Daphnia pulex: one gene and its partners. The protein of the gene in region 1 purifies or fractionates together with the protein of each later gene. This does not show direct contact. Links are inferred from orthologs where the notes say so. Each region holds a gene or a part of one and is shown in the gene's direction. Other genes may lie near its edges. The genes, in order: hsp90 co-chaperone Cdc37-like, src substrate cortactin-like, serine/threonine-protein kinase grp-like, cyclin-dependent kinase 1-like, serine/threonine-protein kinase B-raf-like, eIF-2-alpha kinase GCN2-like and mitogen-activated protein kinase kinase kinase 7-like.

What was found.
Region 2: the proteins of hsp90 co-chaperone Cdc37-like (region 1) and src substrate cortactin-like purify together in Homo sapiens (affinity purification with mass spectrometry; 3 studies listed by BioGRID and IntAct, with this or other methods). This does not show direct contact. The link is inferred for Daphnia pulex from reciprocal best matches to the Homo sapiens genes CDC37 and CTTN.
Region 3: the proteins of hsp90 co-chaperone Cdc37-like (region 1) and serine/threonine-protein kinase grp-like purify together in Homo sapiens (affinity purification with mass spectrometry; 3 studies listed by BioGRID and IntAct, with this or other methods). This does not show direct contact. The link is inferred for Daphnia pulex from reciprocal best matches to the Homo sapiens genes CDC37 and CHEK1.
Region 4: the proteins of hsp90 co-chaperone Cdc37-like (region 1) and cyclin-dependent kinase 1-like purify together in Homo sapiens (affinity purification with western blotting; 3 studies listed by BioGRID and IntAct, with this or other methods). This does not show direct contact. The link is inferred for Daphnia pulex from reciprocal best matches to the Homo sapiens genes CDC37 and CDK1.
Region 5: the proteins of hsp90 co-chaperone Cdc37-like (region 1) and serine/threonine-protein kinase B-raf-like purify together in Homo sapiens (affinity purification with mass spectrometry; 5 studies listed by BioGRID and IntAct, with this or other methods). This does not show direct contact. The link is inferred for Daphnia pulex from reciprocal best matches to the Homo sapiens genes CDC37 and BRAF.
Region 6: the proteins of hsp90 co-chaperone Cdc37-like (region 1) and eIF-2-alpha kinase GCN2-like purify together in Homo sapiens (affinity purification with mass spectrometry; 3 studies listed by BioGRID and IntAct, with this or other methods). This does not show direct contact. The link is inferred for Daphnia pulex from reciprocal best matches to the Homo sapiens genes CDC37 and EIF2AK1.
Region 7: the proteins of hsp90 co-chaperone Cdc37-like (region 1) and mitogen-activated protein kinase kinase kinase 7-like purify together in Homo sapiens (affinity purification with mass spectrometry; 6 studies listed by BioGRID and IntAct, with this or other methods). This does not show direct contact. The link is inferred for Daphnia pulex from reciprocal best matches to the Homo sapiens genes CDC37 and MAP3K7.

The regions. Positions count from the first base shown.
Region 1 is NC_060026.1:6,136,961-6,140,502, forward strand, and holds hsp90 co-chaperone Cdc37-like, read left to right. Parts: upstream 1-1,322; 5' UTR 1,323-1,448; coding exon 1,449-1,481; intron 1,482-1,652; coding exon 1,653-1,786; intron 1,787-1,854; coding exon 1,855-2,019; intron 2,020-2,104; coding exon 2,105-2,485; intron 2,486-2,558; coding exon 2,559-2,748; intron 2,749-2,812; coding exon 2,813-2,983; 3' UTR 2,984-3,042; downstream 3,043-3,542. Other genes in the region: U1 small nuclear ribonucleoprotein 70 kDa-like, read right to left, coding at 3,150-3,253, 3,316-3,386, 3,443-3,542. UniProt on the Homo sapiens protein: Co-chaperone that binds to numerous kinases and promotes their interaction with the Hsp90 complex, resulting in stabilization and promotion of their activity. Inhibits HSP90AA1 ATPase activity.
Region 2 is NC_060023.1:10,192,619-10,196,806, forward strand, and holds the start of src substrate cortactin-like, read left to right. Parts: upstream 1-1,388; 5' UTR 1,389-1,509; intron 1,510-1,573; 5' UTR 1,574-1,584; coding exon 1,585-1,730; intron 1,731-1,796; coding exon 1,797-1,916; intron 1,917-1,977; coding exon 1,978-2,088; intron 2,089-2,149; coding exon 2,150-2,270; intron 2,271-2,365; coding exon 2,366-2,476; intron 2,477-2,536; coding exon 2,537-2,647; intron 2,648-2,711; coding exon 2,712-2,895; intron 2,896-2,961; coding exon 2,962-3,032; intron 3,033-3,093; coding exon 3,094-3,639; intron 3,640-3,698; coding exon 3,699-3,779; 3' UTR 3,780-4,188. Other genes in the region: 39S ribosomal protein L23, mitochondrial-like, read right to left, coding at 490-645, 714-784, 853-1,058, 1,138-1,151.
Region 3 is NC_060028.1:8,546,400-8,550,362, reverse strand, and holds serine/threonine-protein kinase grp-like, read left to right. Parts: upstream 1-1,263; 5' UTR 1,264-1,447; intron 1,448-1,508; 5' UTR 1,509-1,542; coding exon 1,543-1,643; intron 1,644-1,697; coding exon 1,698-1,921; intron 1,922-1,982; coding exon 1,983-2,067; intron 2,068-2,191; coding exon 2,192-2,631; intron 2,632-2,692; coding exon 2,693-3,120; intron 3,121-3,182; coding exon 3,183-3,401; 3' UTR 3,402-3,463; downstream 3,464-3,963. Other genes in the region: histone H2A-like, read right to left, coding at 3,628-3,823, 3,883-3,963. UniProt on the Homo sapiens protein: Serine/threonine-protein kinase which is required for checkpoint-mediated cell cycle arrest and activation of DNA repair in response to the presence of DNA damage or unreplicated DNA.
Region 4 is NC_060026.1:11,477,871-11,481,288, forward strand, and holds cyclin-dependent kinase 1-like, read left to right. Parts: upstream 1-1,140; 5' UTR 1,141-1,291; intron 1,292-1,394; 5' UTR 1,395-1,525; coding exon 1,526-1,574; intron 1,575-1,639; coding exon 1,640-1,935; intron 1,936-1,995; coding exon 1,996-2,151; intron 2,152-2,213; coding exon 2,214-2,377; intron 2,378-2,445; coding exon 2,446-2,698; 3' UTR 2,699-2,918; downstream 2,919-3,418. Other genes in the region: GATA zinc finger domain-containing protein 1-like, read left to right, coding at 1-186, 242-405; eukaryotic translation initiation factor 3 subunit F-like, read right to left, coding at 2,982-3,065, 3,129-3,379. UniProt on the Homo sapiens protein: Plays a key role in the control of the eukaryotic cell cycle by modulating the centrosome cycle as well as mitotic onset; promotes G2-M transition via association with multiple interphase cyclins.
Region 5 is NC_060021.1:7,350,480-7,354,711, forward strand, and holds the start of serine/threonine-protein kinase B-raf-like, read left to right. Parts: upstream 1-1,432; 5' UTR 1,433-1,445; coding exon 1,446-1,589; intron 1,590-2,006; coding exon 2,007-2,108; intron 2,109-2,323; coding exon 2,324-2,758; intron 2,759-2,822; coding exon 2,823-2,927; intron 2,928-2,997; coding exon 2,998-3,164; intron 3,165-3,496; coding exon 3,497-3,732; intron 3,733-4,092; coding exon 4,093-4,232. Other genes in the region: ATP-binding cassette sub-family D member 2-like, read left to right, coding at 1-54, 123-273, 347-415. UniProt on the Homo sapiens protein: Protein kinase involved in the transduction of mitogenic signals from the cell membrane to the nucleus. Phosphorylates MAP2K1, and thereby activates the MAP kinase signal transduction pathway. Phosphorylates PFKFB2.
Region 6 is NC_060017.1:4,490,143-4,494,180, reverse strand, and holds the start of eIF-2-alpha kinase GCN2-like, read left to right. Parts: upstream 1-1,238; 5' UTR 1,239-1,532; coding exon 1,533-1,572; intron 1,573-1,682; exon of another isoform or gene 1,683-1,684; coding exon 1,685-1,822; intron 1,823-1,881; coding exon 1,882-2,086; intron 2,087-2,152; coding exon 2,153-2,308; intron 2,309-2,383; coding exon 2,384-2,500; intron 2,501-2,544; exon of another isoform or gene 2,545-2,570; coding exon 2,571-2,695; intron 2,696-2,761; exon of another isoform or gene 2,762-2,768; coding exon 2,769-2,844; exon of another isoform or gene 2,845-2,906; coding exon 2,907-3,016; intron 3,017-3,076; coding exon 3,077-3,399; intron 3,400-3,461; coding exon 3,462-3,582; intron 3,583-3,657; coding exon 3,658-3,705; intron 3,706-3,973; coding exon 3,974-4,011; intron 4,012-4,038. Other genes in the region: restin homolog, read right to left, coding at 1-170. UniProt on the Homo sapiens protein: Metabolic-stress sensing protein kinase that phosphorylates the alpha subunit of eukaryotic translation initiation factor 2 (EIF2S1/eIF-2-alpha) in response to various stress conditions.
Region 7 is NC_060025.1:3,027,484-3,031,536, forward strand, and holds the start of mitogen-activated protein kinase kinase kinase 7-like, read left to right. Parts: upstream 1-1,253; 5' UTR 1,254-1,308; coding exon 1,309-1,395; intron 1,396-1,460; coding exon 1,461-1,683; intron 1,684-1,737; coding exon 1,738-1,855; intron 1,856-1,923; coding exon 1,924-2,066; intron 2,067-2,126; coding exon 2,127-2,313; intron 2,314-2,374; coding exon 2,375-2,511; intron 2,512-2,542; exon of another isoform or gene 2,543-2,573; coding exon 2,574-3,320; intron 3,321-4,053. Other genes in the region: guanine nucleotide exchange protein smcr8a-like, read right to left, coding at 123-416, 477-744, 806-984. UniProt on the Homo sapiens protein: Serine/threonine kinase which acts as an essential component of the MAP kinase signal transduction pathway. Plays an important role in the cascades of cellular responses evoked by changes in the environment.

The DNA.
Region 1 (3,542 bases):
AATGAATGGAAAGATTTAATCATAGAACCATTTAAGGACCCATCTGAGAATCAATTTTTTAAGAACGAACTGTCTGAAATTGAACAAAAAGCTAACGAACGAGTAAGAGAATTTCGCCCACGTTTAGAAACATGATTTGTTAAAGCCTACAACGGAATGCTTTTTTCCATAGTACAAATGAAGATATGACTCTCAAAAGAAACGACATTCGAAGGAAAAAAAGAATGCATTTGAAGGAGGACTCAAAAGGGAGTTACTCCCAGGTGAAAACAGAGTACTGCGCGATGCTGACTACGCAACATGTGAAGTCACAGCAACAGATATAGAAAGAAGTTTAGCACGCAAAAAATCAACTTCTCACAAAAACCGTCATTCACAAATAAGCGCTATTAGTTTACACAAAAAATTACTTTTAGTATTATTCGAATTACTTTAATTGTCTTTTAATGATTTATTTTAAGTTTATGGTAACCGCCATAAACTCCGTGTTAAACACGGCTCGAAGCCTCGAACATTTTGTCGCGCTGTTAAATTAATTTTAAAATAATAAATGTTAACGAAAATGTAAAAAATTTGTAACACATTTTTATCAACAGTGTTGTGGCCGATATTTTTTTTTTACCGCGAGCCCGGCCCGATTAACAGAAACAAACATCATGTCAAGGTCGTGATCTTTTTTGCGATCGCCGCTAGATGGCAAGGGGAAATGATTACCAACGTTTTCAAGAATCAAGACAAAGCACAAAGCAATTTGCAAAAATACATTTAATCACTGAAACTTTATAAACTTTAATGTATAACAATAATTTTTTATATAAAAATAAAAACAATAATTTATTGGTGGTGCTATTTAAAAAAAGGGTTTTTTTATTAATTAAAGATAGCGACGATCGCAAATCTGATCGAGCGATTTCTGGCCTGCAATTCCGATCCCGGTCGCGTTTTTCAGTTTGGATCGCGATCGCTAAAAATTTACCGTGGTCGTGATCGCACGATCGAACGATTGCAATCGTCACGACATTTTTTATTAATAAAATAAGTATCAGTTTATAATGAATAAATTTTTTGAATTAAGACCCCTATTTCCCGTATATAAATGTTTAATGGTTCATTTCTTTAAGATCCCACGCTACGATTTTGTCCGGGTTTTATTATGTAAATAGTGTGTAATGTGTCAATAATGTTCATTTTTCCTAAAGGCTAAAACTAAAACCCCCCTTTTTTTAGCTAAAATGGCCTTAGTAGAGACGAAGTTGCTTTAGTCCATTCAGGAACAAGCTCCACCCATCGCCAGAGGGGTGTACCTCTTTGGAGTTATCACTTAGGCAAAGGTTCAGTTTTCTGCCACCACTCTGTCGAGTCTACAATCGTAGATTCGTAGTGTTAGCGTTTAGATAATCTGTCACTTTCCACTTTTCCATTAAGTTCTTAACTTTATCGCGAATAAAATGGTAGACTACAGCAAATGGAAAAATATCGAGGTAAATTGTTGCTTCAAAAATGTTGTGTTGTTATTTTACCATATTTTTGCGGGTTCTCTAACCTTCTATTTATTGTCAGTATAGTATTTAATCGTAATTAAGTATCGTAATTAAGTATTCGTTATTTATATGTTTCATTTAAACACTCACGTACTTCATAATACTTTACAGATATCTGACGATGAGGATGATACACATCCTAACGTTGACACGCCTTCTCTGTTCAAATGGCGACACGAAGCTAGATTAGAAAAAATGAAGGAAATGGAACAAGAAAAAGCTCTGTTTCTCAAAGCAAAAAATGAGTAATGCTAAATAACTAGCTTTAATGTTTTTGTTAAAGTTTACATTAAATCAAACTTTTCTAACAAAGGAACACTGCCAAACTAAAAGAAGTTAAAAGTAAGTATGAACAGGTGATGAAAGAAGGTATTGATGTGACAGATTTGAAAAAGCAATTGAGTGAATTAGAATCGAAAAAAATTGAACTCGAAGATCATGAAGAACAAATGAAAAAAAAGGAAAAGTTGATGCCATGGTATTTAAAAGATTCACTTCAATATATCCTAATGTGATGTCTAATTTCAAAGTTTAATTGTGGTTTTTTTGCATATTTTTTTTAGGAATGTAGATACAATTAGTCAACCTGGATTTTCAAAAACTGTGGTCAATGTTGACCAACCCAAAAAAGTGAAAGAGCTCACTGAAGAGGAGAAAGAAATCAAAACACGTGAATTTTTCAAGAAACATGAGAAAAATCTTAAGGCATATGGAATGCTACAAAAGTATGATGATAGTAAGCGTTTCCTTCAAGAAAATCCAGAGCTGGTTTGTGAAGAAACAGCAAACTATCTCGTGATTTGGTGTATTAATTTAGAAATGGAAGAGAAAACAAGTTTAATGGAACATGTTGCCCATCAGTGCATTTGCATGCAATTCATTCTTGAATTATCCAGGCACCTTAACAGAGATCCAAGATCATGTGTGTCTTCATTCTTTTCAAGGTTTATCTTTATATTAAGTTGTCCTTTATGTAGCTATAACTAAATGAATTGTTTACTATTTTATCTCTTTTAGAATTCAAATCGCAGATGTTGAGTATCGTAAAGGATTTGAAGACGAACTTGTAGCTTTCAAAGACCGTATACAACGGCGGGCGAAAGAGAAAATAGAAGCTGCAATTGCCGAAGCTGAGGAGGAAGAAAAGAAAAAACGACTTGGTCCTGGAGGGTTGGATCCCGTTGAAGTATTTGAAAGTTTACCGGAGGTATAATTGAGCAAGACACATAAATTTCCTTCCACATATATGAATCATGTGTTTTGTTGTGTAGGTTCTTAAGGATTGTTTTGAAAAACAAAACATTGAGCTTCTTCAACAAGCAATTTCAACACTACCTGAAGAAGAAGCACGGTTTCATATGAAAAGATGTGTTGACTCCGGATTGTGGGTACCCGACGGAAATGTTGCTGGAAATATTGCAGAAAATGTTGCAGAAAATTAAAATACTAGTTTGGATTATTATATTCATTAATAATGAATTAATACACTGGGGCTTTTGAATAACGTGTATTTGACGTTTTTACCTCCAGTTTCATACTCACCTCACTTTAAAATTGTAAAGTTAAAAAGCCTTAAGAACAGACAAGTTACTGCTATAAAAACATACGCTAGTATTCTTCAGTCTGGAATTGCGACTCTTCCACTTCGTATTTAATGTTGTCAGGATCATATTGATTATAGCCATCATATTGTTGGGCCGTATAGTCATAATCTGCAAATTTCAATTCCACAAATTAGTAATAGATATTTTTCATTAACAGCTAATTCCAATACCATCAGGCGGTTCTTCCTTCACTCGCACTTGTTCACCATCCTCCCGAACATAGTCCCTACGCTCTCGTTCCCTGTGAAAAATTATTCATTAAATTCTGAAGTTGAATTCGATAATTTGATTGCTTACTTATCCTTGTAACGATCGCGACGTTCCCGGCGATCCTTGTTCTTGTCTTTAACTCGATCTTTTTCTTTGCGACGCTCATCGCCAGAAGCGACTTGACCAG
Region 2 (4,188 bases), on another chromosome or scaffold:
GAACTCTCAAATGATTCCTGGGTCAATTGATGAATTCCCAAATCTGAAAGAATTTCACGCGAGAATCGGAGGGCTAGAGAAAGTTGCAGCTTATCTGAGTTCGGATAAATGCATCAAGAATCCTTTCAATGGACCTATGGCTCATTGGGGCGGAAAATAAGCTAAATGGTGGTAACCACTATCATATCTGTAAATTTAATCTGGTTCTTATTTGTTTGGCGTTACGAGAAAAAATGTAGACTATTAAAAGTTATTCAATATTTCGGGTTAATGGGTAATACAATACAACGTTAATGAAAAATTATGGAATCCCTTTTCTGCTTTCTGCCACTTTTTTTTCCGAAGCAAAATATTTTCAATAAGTCCCCCCCCCCCCACCAAATACCGTGCCATAGGCCTACCCGGAGTTTCTTTTTATCTTATACAAATGAAATAAAATAATAAATAAACCATATGTTATTACTGTATTCTAACAAATTTTTTACAAATTCAATGACTAAACCATGTAGGCACTCCTTGTTTAGAAATATTAATGCTTGTTTTCTGGGCATACAATTCTTTTGTCTGTTTCATAGTATTAGTTTGCTCATCATAAATGTCAGTACTGCCATGAATTTCTGGGAAGACAAATTTGTGGTCTTTGTGCTAAAAAACAAACAAAACAAAATGGTTACAGTTGAAGAAACATTAAACAAGATAAGTTTTCAAATTACCAGAGTTACAAAGGCTATTTTTTCATCATTTTCCTTAGTGACATAAGTGTTGGGTAAAGTTTTTGTTTTCCCTTTAAAGAAAATTATTCTAAGTGTTAGTAAAACATCACTTATTTTAACCTCAATAATGTTGTCGTACCCATTTGGTTGTAGGTGCTGACATGAACAACAGGGAGGTTGTAAATTTTTTCAAGATATTGTTTAACATCAAGCTTGGTCATTTGTGATGAGACAACAAACTGAACTTGATTAGGTAGCAAATTGTGGCTCGGTTTGACAAGCTTCATCCAAAAGTCAGGTAGGAACACCCGTAATTTAGGACTACCGCTTTTGAAAGCTGGATATCTACATTTTTAGATTTTTTAATCGTAACTAATTATAAATTTTGAGTGAACCCAATTAAGCTTTGAAATTCTTGACTTACATTCTCGTCGACATTTTCTCAGGATGTTTGAAGCCTCAACACAATCAGTTTGATGATTTCTTGTTTACTGTTTTCGTCTGCATTGACTGCATGGTGCATGCTTGAATCTTTATGCTGCGCCAAATCATATTTCAAACTTTTCATTAATGATATTTACACTTTTATACTCATAGAAACAATTTAAATTTTTTTTTTAATTATTATTAGTAGATTTTATGACGAAATAAAAATAAGTTTTTAAAATTCATTTCCGAATGGCATTGTTGCAAGATAAACTATCCGGATTGTTTAACTTCTTATCAAATAGAAAGGGCGTGTGACTCAACTTTTAGCCGGTTTAAATTAGTATTATATCTATTTATTAAAGAATTTGTACGTCAGAGAGATCATTAATTATCACAAATAATTTTAAATTAAAATTTATTTTTCTCTCTAGATTGTAATAACATGTGGAAATCAGCAGTTGGTTCCAGCATCAAGGCTCCTGTTGTCAACCAAGATGACGATGAATGGGATACCGATCCCAATTATATTAACAACGTAACAGAAGAAGAACAACGATGGGGTGGGGGAAGAACTGCGGGTGCTATTGAGTGAGCATAAATGTTTTCTTCAAGACATTGTGTATTTACGTTAACGGTTTCTGTCAATGTTTACAGTATGAATGCTCTACGAGAGCAAACGACTAAAGAAGATCTGGAGCTCAAGAAAAAGGTAATGGCTGCAGGACCTCAAGCATCTTATGGATATGGTGGAAAATTTGGTGTACAAGGAGATCGGTATGTTTTTCTTAGAAAACTAAAATGTGAATTTCATCAACTTTTGTTTTTGTTTCTTCAGTATGGATAAAAGTGCAGTCGGGCATGAACATATCGAAAAAGTTGAAAAACATGCTTCTCAAAAAGATTACACCACTGGTTTTGGTGGGAAATATGGCATTCAAAAGGACAGGTAAGAACAGGATTCATTTTTTGTACATCTTTCCAATTTCTTACTATTATTGTTTATTAAGGATGGATAAGTCTGCAGTGGGGCATGACTATGTAGCCAAGGTTGAAAAACATGGCAGTCAAACAGATGCTGCCAAAGGGTTTGGCGGCAAGTTTGGAGTTCAAACTGATCGAGTTGATAAGGTATTTCATTAAAATATGCGCATTATTGTTTTATTTCAGTTACTTTACAGTTATGCCCACTATTTTCTCACGTTTTATTTGGATCGGTTAAATAGAGTGCTGTTGGTTGGGATTATCAGGAGAAGTTGGTAAAGCATGAAAGTCAAACAGATGGTTCCAAAGGTTTTGGTGGGAAATTCGGCGTACAAACCGACCGCATCGACAAAGTAACAAATTCTATAACTGTTTGAACAAAGGAATTTTTTCTATTGAAGTGCAATTTTTAGAGTGCAGTTGGCTGGGATTATCAAGAAAAAGTGGAGAAACATGAAAGTCAGGTGGATGGAAATAAAGGTTTTGGTGGTAAATTTGGTGTCCAGGCTGATCGAGTCGATAAAGTATAACCTACCAATGCAATGTTATTGTAATCCAACTAATTTCTTAATTTATCTTTTGTGACAGAGTGCTGTTGGTTATGATTACCAAGAAAAAGTAGAGAAACATGAGAGCCAAGTAGATGGTTCAAAAGGTTTCGGAGGAAAATTTGGTGTTCAAACAGATAGACAAGATGCAGCGGCCGTCGGTTTTGATGAAGAACAAGGTCATGTTGGTACTACTTACGAGAAGGATAAGCCAGTTATTGCGGGTAACAATAAAAATTTCCGTTAAGTTTTTCTTGGTTTGAATTTATTAAACTCATTTGGTTCCATAGAGAAAGGTAAAGCGTCTTTGCTGAAATCCCGTTTTGAAAATTTTGCTGAAGAAAACAAGAAAGCAGCCATGGTAAACGTTTGATAGTTTCTTATTACAAACAAATGTATTACATCATTTTTCATTTCTTTAGGTTGTTCCTCCTCCACCGAAGAATCCCCGCCCAATGGCTAAGATAGCACACAAATTCGAAACACAGTCGACGCCTCAAACAGAGCCACCCATTAAACAAATCCCCCAAACAGAAAAACCTGTCCGACAAAACCAATTCCTCCCAGCCAAGTCGCCTGTTATACCAGAGCCAGTCATCCGAGAAAGTCCTGTGATTTCTCCAGTTCCAGAACCTGCTAGGTCGCCTTCACCTCCACCGACTGTCGTTCCACCTGTTCCGGCACAAACTCAACAACATATCGCGCAATCCCTTGAACGATGGAACGATGATCTGGCCGAAGCTGTCGAAGAAGTGGATGATGGAGCGTGGAGGGAGCAAGTGGATGAGCAGGATGACGCCTGGAAAGACGAAGAAGAGATAGGCTACGTCCAAGAGAATTCGAATTTAGAAACAGTTGCGGAAGAAACTGGATCCGGTCTTATTGCAGTCGCCCTCTACGATTACCAAGCTGCTGCAGAAGACGAGCTCTCCTTTGACCCGGATGAAGTCATTGTCAACATCGAAATGGTAATGTTTATTAATTTATAAAATGTGTTTAGTTTCTAACCAACTCTTTTGCTGTGCAGATCGATGAAGGTTGGTGGCGAGGGGAGTGTAGAGGACAGATAGGATTATTTCCCGCTAATTACGTCCAACTGCAACAGTGAAACCCTATCCAGTTTTTTTCGTCTTCCAGGTTTTATCCAACAATCCAAGGTTCTTTTTTATTCCCAATTGTTAAGCATTCTTTCCAAGAATTTTCCTTATCTCGTAAGCCAACCATATGGCGGTTCTTTTTACGCGTGGCGTTATATTCGTGTATTGTTGTCCAGTCAGTATTCACAACGCGGTGAAGAAAAACATTACTTATTACAGATTAGTTGATTTGATGAAAATGTGTGACGGAAAAACATCGTTCTTGCCTATTATTGTGGAAAGAGAATTGCAAGTTATCCCTTATCTGCATTTAATTAAGAACCAATAATTAGATGTTGTTTGCCGACTCAAATCACAATGCTTTGTTATGATTATTGTGCCGAGATCCAACCGACCAATCTATCTTATGCAGCCTGTTGA
Region 3 (3,963 bases), on another chromosome or scaffold:
GGAATGGCAAGTCCTGAAAATTAAGCTGTTTTATGAAACTACAATTAAAAACTCATGCTTTTTCTAGGCTGTTGCTGGCCTTTTAGCTGATTCCAGGCAAATTGTGGAAACTGCCAGGACAGAAGCTTCAAATTACCGTGCTGAATATGGAGGCAATATTCCTGTCAAAGTATATTCTAGCATTGGATAATTTTGATCATTCAGCTAAACTTAATATTTTTAAAAATTAGTATCTGGCAGATCGTGTTGCCATGTACAAGCATGCTTACACTCTGTATTCTGCTGTGAGGCCATTTGGTTGTTCTGTTGCTCTTGGATCTTATGATGAAATTGATGGCCCTCAGCTTTATATGGTGGATCCATCTGGAGTTTCCTTTGTATGCTCACTTTTTCCACCAATTTTTGTTTATGATCTAAAAAATATCAAAATTGTCCATATTTTAGGGATATCTTGGATGTGCTATGGGGAAAGCAAGACAGGCTGCTAAAACAGAAATGGAAAAGCTCAAGCTTAAGGATATGACCTGTCTAGAACTCATCAAAGAAGCTGCCAAGATGTTAGCTCTTTTTTTAACTATTTAATTCAGGTTAATAATTGGCTTTTTTTTTGTACATGCAGCATTTACATTGTCCATGATGAAGTCAAGGATAAACATTTTGAACTGGAGCTGAGCTGGGTAGGTGCTGTCACCCAAGGACGTCACCAGAAAGTCTCTCAGGAGGTGTTTGCTGAAGTTGAGCGATACGCAAAATCTGCACTTGAAGATGATTCAGATTCTGGCAATGATGATATGTGAAAATGGGAAATGAAAGAAGGGACCCGAGTTAATACACTTTGGAATACAATCGTCTTTAATTTGAATTCAAATGAATAATATCCAAAGTTCGCTAACTCCACCTAAATCCAGGTGTAGACCAAGCTTAAGTGTCTAACATCAAGGATTAGTTAAAATTGGAGTATTGTTGCCTAAATTTATATTAATTGCGTAGGGAATTTAACGGAGAATCCTATTACGTATTCATGTATCCGTACATGAAACTGAAAAATAAAATGACATAAATATGTTCACCTTTTTCATCATAACTCTTGTCATAACATTTTTCTAATAATTTTAGAGTATTCGTACCTTTTCTAATATTTTTTACGACGTTCAAGTTTGATTGATATTGTGTAATTTATATTTTACGATTTTAATTCTGAGAAAATTCATACGTGGTTGTGGCGCACATGCCACACCTTTTTACGAACGCACCCCATAACTGGGCGGCAAACAACAGAAGCCAAACAACAAGCTGACGAAAACTAGCGAGTCAAAATGCTTACACCTGTTTTAACATTTTATTAGGAAAATGAATTGGTGCAACTTGTTAAACTAGACTGGAAACTGTGTCAGTGGTAATTTTGTAAAGCAGATCTTCCCTACACCAAAAAGAAACGGAAAAAGTGGTATTTTTGCGATATTTTGTATTCCATTTTAAAGTGTCTAAAACAGCTTGTATCTTTTCAGTTAATCTCGTTGTACAATACATATTTATTCAATCATGGAAGACCAAAGTAAAAAATATGAAGGAAAAAACAGTGTAATTGAATTTGTAGAAGGCTGGGATATGATTCAGACACTGGGTGAAGGAGCTTTTGGAGAGTAAGAAAATTGTAAGAATCATGCAAAATATATAATTTAACAAATTTGTTCTAGGGTGAAACTATTAGTTAATGCCAAAACAGGTGAAGCAGTTGCAATGAAAGTGATTGATCTCAAGAAGCACGCAAATGCTGCTGAAACAGTCAAAAAAGAAGTTTGTGTGCACCGGATGTTGAATGATGTGCACGTGATAAGGTTTTATGGGAGAAGGGAAAATGGCAATTTTGAATTCATTTTTTTGGAATATGCATCTGGTGGAGAATTATTTGACAGAATTGGTAATATATTAATTTTTAAAATAATACTGTCTGCAATGATAACCTGTTACTCTAATTTCAGAGCCTGATGTGGGAATGCCTCAAGTAGAAGCTCAGCGCTATTTCAAGCAGTTAATTGCTGGTGTAAGCTACTTGCATAGCAGAGGGTAATTATCATAACATAACTCAAGTTTTTTCATCATTTTTTAAACAAATGTCCCCTTAAGATTATTTTACCAAGACGCTTTCGCGAATCTCGAACATACAACATTTCTTCTATATTTATTATAGGATTGCTCACAGGGATATAAAGCCGGAAAACTTGCTTTTGGATGCCAATGACAATTTGAAAATATCTGATTTTGGAATGGCAACAGTTTTTCGATTTCAAGGTCGAGAAAGGCATCTGGACAAGCGTTGTGGGACGTTACCTTACATCGCTCCTGAGGTTCTCTGTCGCAAGTACGCAGCAGAGCCAGCCGATATTTGGTCTTGTGGCGTCGTTCTTGTTGCCATGTTAGCCGGAGAATTGCCTTGGGATGTCCCATCTAATGATTGCCCTCTCTACACATCCTGGAAGGAATGTCAGATCACGCGATTGCCATGGACCAAGATTGATACATTGGCTCTGTCATTACTCCGGAAAGTGCTGATGCCGTTGCCCGGGAAACGTTACACTATTCAGCAAATAACTAATCATCAATGGTTTCAGAAGAAATTCAAAGTTCCTAGTATGAAATCCTTGTTTACTATTTGATGCCTTTCTTAACTTCCGACTTCTCTGAATTGAAGGTACATCTCTACGGACAGAGGAAAACATGCCAGTCTCTAAACGCCTATGCTCTGACGTAGTGGATGCTGGTTTATCACCGCCCTCATCCGATGCAACCCATTTGTCCTACTCTCAGCCTGGACTTGGATTCTTCTCCGGTTCTCAACCTGTCCATCAAAACGACACTAACGATGATCAAGCCCCTAACAAGCATCTGCCAGGCGCGATGTTTAGCTTCTCTCAACCTGCTCATATCGACGATATGCTACTGAACTCTCAGCTGAACACACAAACTGCTTCGGGTTCAAGCATCAGTTCGCCTCTCCAAAGACTTGTCAAGAGAATGACTCGTCTTGTGGCAAAAGTTAGCTGTGAAGAAGCAATCAAACATTTGAGCCAACAGCTAATCAAACTCGGCTACACTTGGAAAATTCACACTCCTGGCGTGGTATAACAAATAAAATGCTTAAAGAATATTGTAGTATGTTAACGTTCTTTTTGCGTTCATAGGTAACCATATCCACGCAAGATCGACGGAAAATGCAACTCGTCTTCAAAGCAACGGTTTACGATATGCAGACCATGGTGTTACTCGACTTTCGATTGTCGAGAGGCTGTGGACTTGATTTTAAAAGACATTTCCTAGCAATTAAACATAAGTTGGCAGATATATTATGTTCTGCACCAGTTACTTGGTCCATTGCCACTGCTACAAATAGCATTCCTTAATCTTTCAATTGTAATATTGTTTTTAAATACCAATAATGTTGCATTACACTGATTCATATGTAGCACAAGAGTCGCTTTTATTTATTCTGGATGACAAGGGACTTACAGGAGAATTTGATCAAAAAGTATTAAGACTGAAAGCAATTAAAATGGAAATTCAAAAAATCCTGGAGGTTTGGAACACATTTAGAGATGAAAAATGAATTTAGGACCAAGTTCAGATACATTAATATTCTTGAGAATTGGCCTTTCCTTTAGCAGCCCCCTTGGAACCTCCTGCTGGGGCAGTTTCGGTCTTCTTGGGCAGCAGAACAGCCTGGATGTTGGGCAGCACACCACCTTGAGCAATAGTAACTCCTGAAAGCAGTTTGTTCAACTCTTCGTCATTTCGGATGGCCAACTGCAAGTGTCTTGGAATGATCCTAGAGAACATTTGGATTCAGCAAGATATTCAGACGCATAATTGAAATAAGGTTTCTACCTGGTCTTTTTGTTATCTCTTGCAGCATTTCCTGCCAACTCCAAGACTTCAGCAGCCAGGTACTCCATCACGGCAGCCAGG
Region 4 (3,418 bases), about 5.3 Mb from region 1:
ACATTTATTATCAAGTGGGGGACATAGTTTCAGTCACAGATGAAGATGATGGAGTTTATTATGCACAAATTCGTGGGCTTCTGCAAGACCAATTTTGTGAAAAAAGTGCTGTATTAACTTGGCTCATCCCAACTCAAAGTTCACCACCCCCAGATGTGGGATTTGATCCACAGACATATATTTTAGGTATGTGAATTTTATATTTTTTTTTCTGTACAGCATTAAAACAGTCTTGGTTTAGGTCCTGAAGAAGAATTGCCACGTAAGCTGGATTATCTTGATTTCGTAATGCATGCGCCGAACGAATATTACAAACTGGATGAAAATGTTCGAGTGTCTAGTGAAAAAGAAGCTGGCTATATTTGGACAAGTATGGGTGCCGTACGAAGAACTATTCATTCATGAAAAATTCCACCAGGATCATCCGTTTATAGTAGAATAGAAAGACCAAGGCAGCCGGCTCTTTTGTTCTTTGTGTCTTTTAATGCCATTACAGATTCGTTTGTAAAACAATTCCATCATTTCTGAAGTTTGTAACTAAAAATATTTGTCACATGTTCTGCTACCTCACTGAAATTCGGAGGAAGAGTAAATTAAATTGTTTGATCTGTTTTAAGTGTTCTTTTCTAAATTTTTAAGAGTTTTCACAATTTTAGTAAGATATTTTCGAAAATTACATGTCGGAAATTATAGAAGATTTTTTTACCTGCTTGCACGGCTTTCTTAAAAATAATACTTGACCATTCCTGCATTACGGCTTGCCTTGCGGGTAACAATGTTTTTAGAAATTATTTTGTGCTGAAATTTTGAGCTGAAATATTTTCTAGTCTACCGGTAAAAATGTTTCGATTATAGTGGTAATAAACAGTTCATTTAAAATATAATGATATTTAAAAATAATATCGATAATGTTAATGAGTTTTTCAAACTTGTATAAGTTGTATGGGTTTTTATTCATTCATAATACTAGCGTCATTCGAACTAATAGACAATTATAACTTGAAATCACCAGCGGGAATTTGTTATTTTAATTTGAGTTTTAATTCAAAACCTTAAAAAAGTTTAAAAGAACTATAACAAATTCGAAATCGTATAGTAGGTTCGTCAAATACATCCATTTTGTCCAATGGGTTTCTGATTATCACCCATAGAGGGCCGTGATTCTGTGAAGTGATGAAGTCGTTTCAAAATTTGGCGGTTACATTCCTTAGTCCAACGGCCGCCACCGTCTCTTTGACATCCAAGTGTGCTCACCTTTTCCTTTAAAGTCGAGTCTGTGGAAACACGTTGGGTACGAACTTTCTTTACTTTGTTAGATTATTCTCTGTTTATCGTGTAACGAAATATTTTATGCAAGAGTCTTACGAATCAATTGATGACAATCTGATTTGCAGGTGGAATACGAAGAATACGTCACTCCAGTTTTTGTTTGCTGCCATTCGACTTCAAATTTCCGTTACTTTCCCGAGATTTCAATTCTTCACACTTTTTGGTTTTTGTTCTTGTTTCTTAACAAACAATAGTGATGCCTTCTGCAATGGAAGACTTTACCAAAATAGAAAAGATCGGTGAAGGTAATGATCCCTGGTACACTAAGCTGTGTAACTTGAACTGATTTTAAAACTTTTGTTTCGCAAAGGTACTTATGGTGTTGTCTACAAGGCTAAAAACCGTAAGACTCAACAATTTGTTGCCATGAAGAAAATCAGGCTTGAAAATGAAGATGATGGTGTTCCTTCGACAGCCATCAGGGAGATATCACTTTTGAAAGAGCTGCTACATCCCAATATCGTCTGTCTGGAGGATGTTTTGATGCAAGAAGGAAAGCTGTATTTAATTTTTGAGTTCCTGTCAATGGACCTTAAAAAGTACATGGACAGCATTCCAACTGGGCAGTTGATGGATAAAACTCTTGTTAAGTCTTATTGCCACCAGGTTTGCTTAGAAGATTTAGGACTCATTTATATATTGGCCTGATTTATATTTTCCCTCTAGATTTTGGAAGGCATTTTATATTGTCATAGACGTCGAGTTTTGCATAGAGATTTGAAGCCCCAGAACTTACTCATCGATAAAAACGGAATTATTAAGATAGCTGATTTCGGTCTTGGGCGCGTATTTGGAGTTCCCGTTCGTGTCTACACTCACGAGGTAAAGGAAAGAAGGTTCCCAATGCATGGACGTATACTATAAATTCTTTTGAACTCACGAAGGTTGTTACTCTATGGTACCGTGCTCCTGAAGTATTGCTTGGGTCATCAAGATATTCGTGCCCCATAGACGTGTGGTCGGTTGGCTGTATTATGGCTGAAATGATAACGAAAAAGCCATTGTTCCAAGGAGATTCGGAAATTGATCAGCTTTACCGTATTTTCCGGTAGTGTTACTTGTCCTTTTTTTTTTATTTTTAAAATTACATTTGTTCCTATTTTATTTGAAACACAGAGTAATGAAGACGCCCACGGAGGAAATGTGGCCAGGCGTTTCAAAAATGCCCGACTATAAACCTACTTTCCCTAATTGGAATACTTACCACCTTCAAAATTCCGTGAAGCAACTTGACTCGATTGGATTTGATCTGCTTCAAAAAACTCTCATTTACGATCCAGCCCTTCGTATCACGGCTCAGGATGCTTTAGATCATGCTTGGTTTACCGATCTGGATAAATCTATCTTACCCACCAATGTGCCTGCTTAATTAAGCATTCCTCATGTAAACGATAGCTACTAAACCTGGCCAACTTCCTGATGGTCGTTTCTTGAAATTCTGTTTTTCGCTTTTCCTAATCATCATTTTTTTTGCTCTCTGAGAGAAGATGGGTGTGATTCTTTTCCTTGGTAGCGAAGAAATTTTCTTCCCCCTTGTGTACGTGTGACTGTATACTATAGTTTCCTAATAAATATGCTCACGAGGACTACATCAGAAAATTGTAATTTAATTGGGAGATGTTCATTTTTATTTTTTATATCAACGTTCTGAATTAAATTGTCAACAATGTGAGTTTTTCGTTCAGCGACAGTTGAGTCTTGGTAAGTTGTGATAGATATAATACCATCAATAAATCCTAAATTAATAAAGTTTTACAAAAATTAGATTAAATAAGTAAATATTGGGTAATGTTTTCTACCTTTCGGTTTGAATTAAGCATCTCTTCAAATTCGTCGGGTGTCATTTTAGGTACCGAATGAACCATATCTAATAGAGAACGACCAAACGTGTTGTCAGCCGTTTTGGAGCCACTCATTACGTCGTCAACATAAGCCAAGATAGTGTCCAGCATGTTTTCCATCTGCTGCGAGGCTTCAACAATCTGAGTAAGATCCGAAGCGATGCCCGCTTGACGTTTAACCGAGGTTTTGGTTTTCTGGCAGGCATTTACTGAAAAACAATCAAAGATTAATTCCCAGTATACATACA
Region 5 (4,232 bases), on another chromosome or scaffold:
TGCCAAAGATGCTGATATTACACTTCTCACTATCACCCATCGCCCATCTTTATGGTGTGTTCAAAAAAATATCCAAAAATTCTGCTAGTTGAAATTACGCAATCGGATTGTATTTTTTGTAGGAAATTCCATACGCATCTGCTTCAATTTGATGGTGAAGGCAAGTGGACTTTGGAGCCATTGAATACTGAAACCCGGCTTACGCTCAAGGAAGAGAAACAGCGTTTGGAGGCGCAGCTGTCTGGCATTCCTCGTATACAGGATCGTCTGAAGGTGACCTTGCCAACTGGTTTGTGCCAATTTCGTGTTAACTAACAATTTTTTTACTTCTAACAACAAAAAACAGGAATTGTGCGTTCTTTTGGGAGAAGACTCGTCTACACAAGAGGAAGTGGAGTCCAACTCTTCCGATTGATTCAACCCATCAAATTCAGTTCAGTTTTTCATGTTTAGCTGAGGAAAAATCATTCAGCAAACTTTACCCTCTTAGTCAATTAATTATGAATTATGATTTAAAAACAACATGCGGTGTGATAGCGCGTTAGTCCCAGTCGCTCAGAAAACATATTTTTTGGGGTTCTAGGTTTAGATAGAATACTCCTTTTTTTTCAGTTTTTTTCAACAATATTTCCAAATTTAAATTTCCTTGTTAGTTTTTTTGTTGGCTGGCTGGAACCTAGAACCAGTTTCGATTCCTTCTCCCAATTGTACTAGTCCAATTTGACGGGCACATGTTTTCGGCATATTAACAGTGCTACGTGAAACCCCGTCGTTATTTTTAATTATTTAGTAAAATCCCTTGTTGTTTTGCAAATGACGGATCTTTACTGACATTTGCTCGAAATCGTTCATGATAGAAATTACTCCACATTTTCTTTAATCAGGGTCAAAATTGCTGATGATTACGAGAAGGAAGCCGCAACCGGAAAACATTTTTGTTGTTAGATTTTAAAAAAAAAAAAAAACCCTTTCACTCAGCAGCACCCAATTGAGACATAATATTTCAATTACGTAATTATCTTTAGTCACAATTGTTATTCAACTCGAAAGCCAGAAACATCGTGCCATCGTTTCAATTTGTGGAACTTTTATGGCTGGCCGTTTTTCTTTCAAATTTACGCGGTATTTTACCATGTCAGTCACTTTTCTTTAAGGGCATTGCTTGATCCTGTACAACTTGTTCTTTACTTGATTAGTTTAGTGAAAAATAAATAGATATGCTGTATATCAATATTTTAGCCTTCAACTCCACTCGCAGTTATTTACATAATATACACGCAATCGGCAGTTCCCATTTCCGCATAAACAATAAACAAAAGATCACGTGATTATAATAAAAAAAGTGATTTGATGCGTTGCCGCTAGATGTCGTTTCAAGTTTGAAGCCATCTAGCGCGATCGCCAAGACTTTGGTGCCCAGCGAATGAAAGGGAAAAAAATAATAAATGGAAGAAGAAGGGGGAGAGAAAAAAAATCGGTCCAAGATGGCCGTGAACGAGACTCTTCTCGGCAGTACAATGACGAATTTCACCCTTCCCAGCCCTAAAAGACATCGCAAATATGAAGAAACAGGAACGATTCACGATGAGGTGACTATCTATTTACAGTGTTGTTTGGTTCGCTCGAAGAATGACATCCAGGAAAGAGATCTCTGAGAAATGTCATTTCGTTTCACTTTCCACCGGGATGTTTGGCTTTATTCTTTTTGACGCTATCGAAGCATTCCATCTGCAAAATTAATTCATATCGAAGAGGACCATTCCCGAAAACAAAGTGCTCCAAAAAAGAATCCCAATGGTTTGATCGCTTTAAGTGGAAAAGTTTCTTGGGAACACTGTCCCACTGAATTGTTTTGATTCAGTGACAGCCTCAAAACAGACATTCAATATCATATCAATTGAGGTCCATCATTGAGCATCAACTTCAAAATGCCTACTTATCTTTTCAATAGTGTTTTGCTTGATACAAGGCTTTCTAATTCATTGTTTCTTGTGTTTTCTTTGCAGCTGCGGAACATTCAAAGTGTCATTCGCCTCACCAAAGAAAATATTGATGCGCTCAATGCACAGTTTGCTGGATTCCAACACCCACCCTTGATGTACATAGCTGTAAGTGCAATTCAGTTTTCTTTAGTTCCACCCCTCAATTTCCCTTCTGAAAGCTCATTTATCATCAAAAGTCGAATAAAACTACATTTGCAGATTTTCCATAGCGCAGCCAGTTTTTCCACTAAAACATAGCTGTCTTTGAACAAATCTATAATCTCTATGTCCTACTCATTTCATTATGACATCAGAATGACTTGGTTTTTGTTTTTCAATAGGAATACAATGAATTGACAAGCAAATTGCACGAATTCAAAGCCCGAGAGCAAGAACTCATCGAAAGAGTAAGCGCAGCTACGGCATCCAATGGACGACAAAGTCCTGGTGGTCACGAGTTGGAAGATTGTTCCGATGCTGAATTGCCACCACACCTCAAAACAGGATTTGGGCCAGATGGAGGTGGTCATCATCATGGACACCAGCAACAACAAATTCATCATCAACAACAAGCTCCCGGTCCGCCTTTAATTGCTATCCCTCCTCCTCCTCGATCACCTCTAAAGTCGGTAGTGCGAGCATACCTGCCCAACGAGCAACGGACGATCGTACAAGTCAAACCCGGCCAAACTGTGCGTGAAGCCCTTTCAAAAGCTATGAAGCTGCGCAAGCTGGACCCGTCCACGTGCGCGGTCTATCGATGCACACAGCCTGAGGTATTACAAAACAAGTTACACGCATAACAATAATGTCAATATTCCCCCATTTTTCTCCCCAAAGGTTAAAGTACAATGGGATGCCGATATAGCTTCAGTCGAAGGTGGAGAGATTCGTGTTAAACTTAAGGATAATTTCTCAGCCACAACCAGCATATCTCACAATTTCGTAAGTTTACAAAAAATCAGACGACATTGGTTTACATTTCAATCGTTAATTTAAAACTTGATTTGAAAAGGTGCGCAAAACATTCTTTTCTTTGGCTTACTGCGAATCCTGCCGACGCCTGCTCTTTCAAGGCTTCTATTGTCGGACGTGCGGATATCGTTTTCATCAGCGTTGCGCTGCAGCCGTCCCTCCCTTGTGCAATCCGGCTCACGTAGCCGAAAACACACTCCTACAGATGTGAGTAATCGTGTCGTAAAAGGAAATTGCGTTGGTACATCGTTGCGAGTCTGCTCTCATCCAATTTTCGCGTTCAAAAGCGTAGAGTGAAAATTTGATTGCATACCTAGAAGACCTTGGCCATAGTTTGAGATCAAAAGACTACGCTGAAGGTCTTCTAAGTACTTGGGAATTTTTTTTCTTGGAATTAAATTTAGGGGCGTTTTTTTGTCAGCAACAGAAACATTTTTGCTTTTACTTTTGTTAAATTATCAAGTTCCAGAAAGATTTAAAAAATGGCGAATTTCAAACATTCAATGACCTAATCCTGATTTGTATGGAATATTTGATAGGTTAATATCGTGTCCAGAGGGCCCCGTACCGTACCCGTACACAGCCGGCCTTACATACCCGCCGACATTCCAGCCGATGCAGATTCCTCGACGCCACCCTCCACCTCTAGCCCAAAGAGAACGATCAACATCGGCTCCTAACGTTTGTTACAATATGGTCGGCAATCAAGGCGGCATCGATACCGCGTTAGAGGATTGGTCCTATCGTATCAAAGCTCACAACCTTGCTGCAACAGGTACGCCAAATTTTCATTATTCTTTTGCAAGTGTTTTATTTATTTTTTAAATCGGCTTGTAAGATGAAGTGGCTGACTCCGTCTTAAAATCCCTAACATTGATTCACAATTTTTTGTTTTCGTTTTTATCAACCAAATTATTAAGTGCACGAAATTTTATTTTTTTTTTGCCTCGTTTACATTTGGTTTTCTTTTCTTTCCGTTTGCCTGTTGCAAATTTTCGTTAAATCCACACAAAAAAAAACCCGAAAACAAAACCCAAAACCATCGAATCCGCTGTGTGTGGGGAATCCTGCGTGTACACAAAACCACTGAAACCCGACCTTAAAATCCTCAAACAAAACAAACAAAAAACCACAGAAGCTGGCCTGATCAGTTTAACACGTTTGGTACAAAACGGCGGAGGCCGGAGCAACAGCAACAAAGGCTTGAATGGCATCCGGGAAGAGCAGCATGAGAATCAGCCCCCTGAGCCGCAACAGCAACAACAACAGGCGCAT
Region 6 (4,038 bases), on another chromosome or scaffold:
GTTTCACTACTTTGTCCAGAAGTTGCAGGGTTCTGTGGTGGCTTACGAGAGAAAGGATTGGCAGGAGGGGTAACAATGGGAGATGCAGTAGTAGTCTCACTGTTTCTGTGTGGTGAAGGTTTTTTTGTCATAAACCTTGACTGTGTGAAGCCAAAAGATTTCCTTTCCATCCTCACAATAAATCAGTAAATTCTACTGAAAATTGTAAACCTGAAACACAATCAAACAACTCCCAAGTTAAATATGTGATCTAACAACAAAATCAATTTTTCGAAGTTATTTATACATTGCATTTAGAACCTCGTGGTTAATAAAAAATTTAATACAAGCGGAAAACTGGTAAGGTGTGAGATCTTTCTAAATAACACTAAATGAAAGAAGCACATATTTTTTGTCGTTAAAATACAGCAGCAGCATGATTACTTCAATTAAGTTTATGAACTACTATACTTTAATGATTTAATCCAAGTCACAAAAATAAGGTGAATATGCTACTTGTTCTTAAAGTGGGTGGTCGATAAATCAATCACAAACTCACGTGCTCTTTATCACGTGTTAGTTAAGTTATCACATTCCACAATAACATTACAAGGACCAATTAACTTACCAGATATATGAAAAAACATGAGAATGAGGATACTAAAAGTCAACTGTGTTTGTCCAGCACGTGAAAAATACTGACCAATTTGCCGCCCGAAACAAGAAAGTGAGGAACTGCTGATCAGCTGATTGGGCAGTGGGCTTAGAAACAAATGCACATCGCCTTAAACGTGACCCGTTCTTGAGTGTTGACTGTTGAGTGAGTCTGAGTCAAATTTGCTTATCACTGGAGTCACTCCGTTCACTAAAAAATGGTTTCAATTTCCAACTTACCTTCAGCTCGACAATAAGTTCTTCCTTTAGGTCCTACTTAAAAACTAAATATGAAATATAGTGACGATAATCACGTTGCGAGTTCAAGGACATCCAATGACCAAAAACTGAAAACCGAAAACGTCCCGAGGGTTCCACTTAATGGTTCCACGAATCCATTATCTTGTTATTCAATCAGTTGTTATAACGTTATCAATTATGCGTTTTCTTATTTATTCAATATAAAGTACAACTAATGTAATTTACAATTTATTTTCTGATTTTCTCCTTGTTCCAATTTTGCAATTTCTTTTTATTTATTATAGCGCCACTAGCACACAGGCGACACAACGTTCTAGCAATTTCGATAAGGTTATTTCGCCCGTCTGGCGGCGTCGCCTTCTGATGAAGTAGTCTGCTACTGCTTGAAATGTGCAAAGAAAATTAGTGATCCGAAGTTTGAAGTTGTTTTTACAATGGATTTAATGATTTGATGGAAGGAGGGAATAATTTTTAATGTATGGATGAACTTCTAAAATTTCTAGTGTTGCTCAACCAATCTAGATAGATTCAGTGTGAACAACATTATGAGAAATCCTCATAGACTGAAAAGTACCACTGCGGAATCAATTACATTTCCATGACATTTCGTTCACATCGAAGAAGAACTTGAAAGAGAAATGAGTTTTCTACCCGTGCCTATAACTACCTTTGATGGAGGTCATCTGTTCAATTTACACTTGAAGCGATTTTTTTTAAGAGCTGATACCTTTTATGGTATTTATTTCTGAAGAAGATCTCACAATTCATCTTCGTTTTCTTATGATTTCAGGTCCAATAGAAGAATCCACTAGTCTAGCATCTACTCTCCGTCATCAGTTCCCGCATGTATTGCTCATAGAGTGTATGTTGGAAAGAATGTGTGCCATACACGAAACTGATTCAGCTAAGCAAAAAGAACTGTATGATGGTGAGTTCATTTCATTATCTTAATTCTATACCTATATTTCTAATGTTCTGTATATCCAGCAATAAGAAAATACTTTGTAAGCTCTCGTCTTCTACCACCAACTGCTGGATTCCCTGAAATGGCAGGAGTGAGATTGAAAATTTCTTCAGACTTGAATAAACTCTTTTGCCTTGCAAAACGTCAGATAGCTACAAGTAGGCAAACACCTATAACAGGTGGTTCATTGGTTGTTGCAAATCCATCTCCAGTTGCTGGAAATATTTGGTAACTACTTGTTCCATGGAAAACCCATTTTTAGCATCTAAGAGAGTTTTCATTATAAATTCTTAGGAGCTCAACTGATGGCAGTGAACATTTGTTTACATCGCGTTACCAGTTAGATTTCAAAGAAATGGAATTTATAGCAGCTGGTGGCTTCGGTGTTGTTTATAAAGCTTACAATTTTATCGATAACATGGAATATGCAATCAAGAAAATTCTGATCGGGTATTTTTTTGTGTTTTATTTCCTTATGTTTTTCTAGTTTGAAATAATAATAAAAAAAAAATTCGTTATTTCTAGGCCAAAATCTGCTGCCAAAATTCTTCGTGAAGTGCAACTTCTTTCTCAACTTCATCATCCAAACATAGTTGCGTATAAGAGTGCGTGGCTGGAATATTGTCCAACACAAACATTTCAGTACATATAATAATTGTTGCGAAACCTTCTTTTTGAAGTCCGAATAATTTTCAAATGTCGTTTATTACAGTGAGATCCTTCAGCATATGGATGACATCAGTATTTCTTCTCAAGACGACCGACTTTCCACAGTGATAAGCTCTTCCCAATCCCGTGAAAGAATTCGAAAATCATCGTTTCTAGATTCATTTAGTAGTAAGAAAAAAAAATAATTGAGCTATCTACTCTTATTAGTTAGGAAAGCTTATTTTCGTATGTTACTTGAAAGGTGATAGTGTTGTTTTTGAAAGTGAAACTCCAACGAATGTCTCTCCACTTGAAAGATGTCCTCCACAGACTCAGAAGTAAGTTTTCATTTTCAAAGAAGGCTTTGTTCAAGTCAGTAATTTTTCATTTCGTTCTCCAGTGGGATCGTTCAGCATGTTCATGATTTCAGTATTTCGTCTCAACACAGATCCACAGTAAATATTAGCTCATCCTTTTCCAGTAATTGTGAAATGGTTATTAGCTCCAATGGTAAGAAAACTAGACACTGCAATGATTATTCTTGTTATTGAAGCTTATGTTTTTAATAAGGAGAGAGCATTATATTTGAAGGTGATACACCGACGAATTCAACTTCACGTTGCTATTCTCAGACCCGTTGTGAAGTGGGTACGACAAATCACAGTGTCGTGTTGAGCAGCAACTGGCGTTTCAATCGATCTTTTCCATCTCCTGCGATGTTACTGTATATTCAGATGCAGTTATGTCCACAAACGTTGCGAAGTTGGTTGAAATATCGAAATGAAAGGAAAAGAGTGTTAAACAGCATAGATCTCGAGTTGTCGATATTCCGCCAAATCGTTCAAGGGATAAATTATATTCACAACAACAATATTATTCACCGCGATATAAAAGTATCATTTTTTAAACTAAATTACTAATTTAACTTACATGGTAAGTTCTGGTCTAATCTTAGCCGGAGAACATATTCGTGGATGCAACAGCGAATCAGGTCTTAATTGGAGACTTCGGGCTTGCAGTGCTTAACTTCACGAATGTCCCTAATAATGGCGCGATATCAACTAAAATTCCAGGTTGTAAGTTCGCTTTAGCTTGCACTTTCTGCTTGTGTCATGTCATTCCTTTCATGTATTATTTAATTAACTGAGCAGTTGGAACTTGTGCTGCTACTAGAGGAGTTGGCACTCAAACGTATGCAGGTATACATTTTTTATGACCTTTCCTGGACCTTGCATGTGTCTTTTATTCAACGCGTTATTAAGATTTCACTAGGTGTTGCAAAAAAAATAACTTCTGTCTGGAAAACGTGTGAGCTTTGTTTTATTTTGGCTGTCTGGGAGTCTGTTTTTTTTTTTGTTTTGAAATTAGTGAATTTCTTACTAAAATATTTAAATAATTTCGGAGAGGGGGTTGGTTCTATTTGTAACCAACTGATAAAAATAGATTTAAAATTTTGCATTTTTTTAGCACCAGAACAACTGGCTAGTCGAGAACCGGACGCTAAGGTTTGGTGAAGAAATATGAAAAACAAC
Region 7 (4,053 bases), on another chromosome or scaffold:
TTGAAGTTATACAACAAACACCTTTGGAGAACCAGTTCTAATTCAAGTATAAACTATAAAGCTATCTTCTAAACATATCCGTGTTGCTTGATTTATTTTCTGGAATTCTCGATACAAACTGATCATAATATAAAACTGTTTAATTGAGACATTACAGCTTTAAAATCAACATTATCGGGGTTTACGTTGGTAAACAAATCATAAGTTGAACAAATCACCTTTGGGTCCAAGATCTGATCTTCCAGAGGTCTACAGGTTATTTTATACACAAATATTAGACCTGATATCACAATTGAGATTCCTATGGGACAGAGCAAATGCCATGGCTTAAGCTTCTTTTCTTGATCCCCTAATTCAGGTTCTGGCTGAGTTAGATGATTCCATTTGTCAAGCAGACTAGTGATAGTGTTGTTCTCCTGTCAAGGATCAAAGAAATAATACTTGTAGGAGGTCAAAGTACAGTAACTGTTGTCTACCTGTACTCCAACATCCTGTCCTAAGCTCCCCATCCACCTCATGTTTGCATTTTTCAATATTTGGGCAGACATGTTGAGAACATTGAGGATTTCATTTTTCAGACGATAGAGCTTGGTCTGATTTTGAGTGATGTAAGCTATGCAAGAAGGACGCACACCTCCTCTTGCCTGAGAATCCTTCAAAGTAAAGTAATGAAGGATGGCATGGAAATTCTGAATGATGTTGGTCCGAATGCAAGGCACATCAGATATTTCATCCAACTTTTCCCTGTGGGATTAAAATAGTATGAAATAACCCAAAGAATTTTTGAATAATTTAAAATAAATACCCTGGAAAATTCTGATAATCTGTTGTCATTATGTAAAGAAGAAATTCATCCAGATTGAAATTCTCATTGTTATTCAGATGAGGTAGAACAGCTGGGATAGTCAAAACACAACGAGGCCCTTCGACTTCACAGAATTCGCTTATTAGAATAAAGTCTCTAATCGTTTGGCTACTAGCCATGTTATTATTGATTATTACAAAGACTTTTCATTAGGCTGTACAAGCAATTTAACGTGCAAATATTTATTTAAGTTACCCATACGAAGTAAGTACAATGACAATCACATTAAACCAACATTGTGTTGATTTTGAAAGACGAGTGAACTTTTGTCTTGGTGACAGTCCAGCAGGGACGTCTGCTAGGTGGTTCGTGGTGGTGACAAAATTTGTTGCTAGATGGCAGTAAAGAAGGAAGATCGGACCAGACGAAAAGTTTGATACGAAAAATTTTGTTTAACAAAACTTGTTTTTGGATTTGTAGTTGTGTAAATATAATTTGTAATCATGGATTCGTCAGAAACATTTTCTGGCGACTTAAAAACAATACCAGAAGACTTGGAAATAGATATAAGTGAAGTCGAAGAATTGCGGGTTTGTAACATTCCATTATTAAGTACTGATTTTATTTACACTAAGATTGGCTGCGTATCGTGCAGGAAATCGGACGAGGAACTTTTGGGGTGGTATACAGAGGTGTTTGGCGATCCAAAGTTGTGGCAGTTAAAAAAATTAACACATCAGCTGAACAAAAAACCTTCATGATTGAGATAAGGCAACTGTCAAGAGTATCACATCCTAATATAGTAAAGCTGTATGGAGCTTCCACAAAGAGAACAGTTTGTCTTCTCATGGAATTGGCTGAAGCTTCATTATATGATGGTAAATTCCTACAGTTTTTTACACTAGAACTTTAACTACATTACTTGAGTCTAGTTCTACATTGCCGCTCCAAGATATCTTATACCTTCCATCACGCTATGAACTGGGCTCTGCAGTGTGCAAGAGGAGTAGCTTACCTACATGGTATGAAGCCTTGTGCCATCATTCACAGGTGTTTTTTCTTACATTTAACTTCATTGGTGTGTAACTAAATTAATTTCATTGTGGGGGTGCTTACAGAGATCTTAAGCCACCAAACCTCCTATTAATGATGGAGGGTAGAGTTTTGAAAATTTGTGATTTTGGCACTGCATGTGACATGAGAACTCAAATGACTAATGGGCAAGGTAGTGCTGCATGGATGGCACCTGAAGTTTTTGAAGGTAACACTTAAGAAGATTTGCAAATTTCAAAATTATTGGCTCAATTTTCTTCTTTTCTAGGCAACCACTACACTGAAAAATGTGATGTGTTTAGTTGGAGTATCATTTTATGGGAGTTACTAGCCCGTCAAAAACCGTTTAGTCACATATTAGACTCGGCGTTTACCATAATGTGGGCCATTCACACAGGCAAGCGTCCCCCTCTTATAAAAGGCTGCCCCGTTCCGTTAGAGAACATAATGACCAGGTAATGATCAACCACTTTGGTGGAATGCTAATTTTTCAATCCATTTCTTTCTTTTTTTAAGTTGTTGGAATAAAGATCCAAACAACAGACCATCAATGGAGCAAGTCGTCAAAGAAATATCGCATTTGTTTCAATTCTTCCCTGACGAAATTCCACCCCTCGAATACCCTAACCAATCGGATTTGATCGAAGCTGGTGGTAAAATATTTTGCGAATTAATTGTTATTACCTTTTATATACATTCGGGACATGTTGAACAGGAGCCAGCTTGGAAAGTTGTGGCAGTGACCCCAGTTTGAGCAACTCTTCTTGTTCCAGTGCAGTTTTGACATCACTGCCTGTTCCTAGAACAAAGTACCACCATTCACCCGCTCGTCCTGTCACTCCCGCCCATCGAGAAGAAACAGACAGCTTACTGCCAGCTTTTAACCAACTGCTCAGCGAAAAGGAAAACATGCTGCAGCCAGGTCGTTCGCTTGTCACGCCCAGTAGCCTCAAGCTGCTTTCACCTAGAATAATAGGAGGCACTAGCACTGTTAGCGAGCCACTGCACCTAATCATTGGCGGAGAAAGCGACGAGTCAGCCGAAGGCTATGCCATACCGCCATTGGGCGAGGATTTCTTACAGGGTGGTCTAGGAAGAATGCAGTCACCTTATCAGCCACAGATGACTAATACGGCCAACGAAAGTATAGGGCAACTAGGGCCGTTGGAAACTCCCCGTCGACCTCAGCAATTCGATCATCCGTTCAAGAGAAGATCAGCGGAATTTCCTCACGTTGACATATGCGTCCCTACGTCTCCAGTACCGTCGTTTCCAGTTCTTCAACCCTATTCTTCCGGATGGAGCGGAGCAGAAGCTAGAAGAGTAGAAGAATCCGCAAATGTGAGCGTCATGGGCCACCGCAGATCCTCTTCACACGGGAATCCTTCCCAATTATGGACTGGTGTCACTCCACAGCAATCGATGCCTTGCATTTCAAATCTGCCTGGTCAACGTCATATTGGTGAGTAAATGTTTGAATCTATCCTGGTCAAAAATTACATGTCATGCAATCGTGACAGGTACAGTGGTACTTGTTGGGTCAATGTGCCGTGTAAAAATGTGACTCAGTTCCTAGTACGCAGTCGTTTGCATACTTAATGCGTGCGTCAGCACTGTGTGCATCACCCGACCAGTAGTTGGAACAGGCCGGAGCGTTGACACATTAACCCAGGAACGAAGAAAAAGAAAAGAAACAAATAGGAAAAGAAATGGAACGAACTAAATAGAGAGAGAGAGAGAGGAAATAGATAAGAGTTGGTATAGAGGCGGAATGCGATGCGCGGGTAACTTGGTCATGTTGCGCAACTATCGAAAAAATTCTTCCCGTGCAGAAACCGTAGTCGGTTGTTGTTCCAATGCGGATTTCGGCCGCAGACTTTTGTTTATGTGTTAAAATGTTGGTCAATCAGCATTCGATTTATTTTCCCGAGAAAATTCGATCACGCTTGCCCGATCAAAGTATTTGTTTAGAACGCTGGTGAAGGCTCGCGGTGATGATTCACACGAACACGGACAGGATGCGCACGCGGGATATTTTTAACGCACACATTTGCTATTAGCTATCGGACCCCCTCCGTCCTGGCCTTTTTTTTCTACAGTCGCTGCGCTCTTCTCCTTCTCTCTCGTCGTGTGCGGGAGAAAGAGAGAGGGAACCCAAGGTCTCGTTGGAAAGGGTCCTTCAGTCAACACGCTGG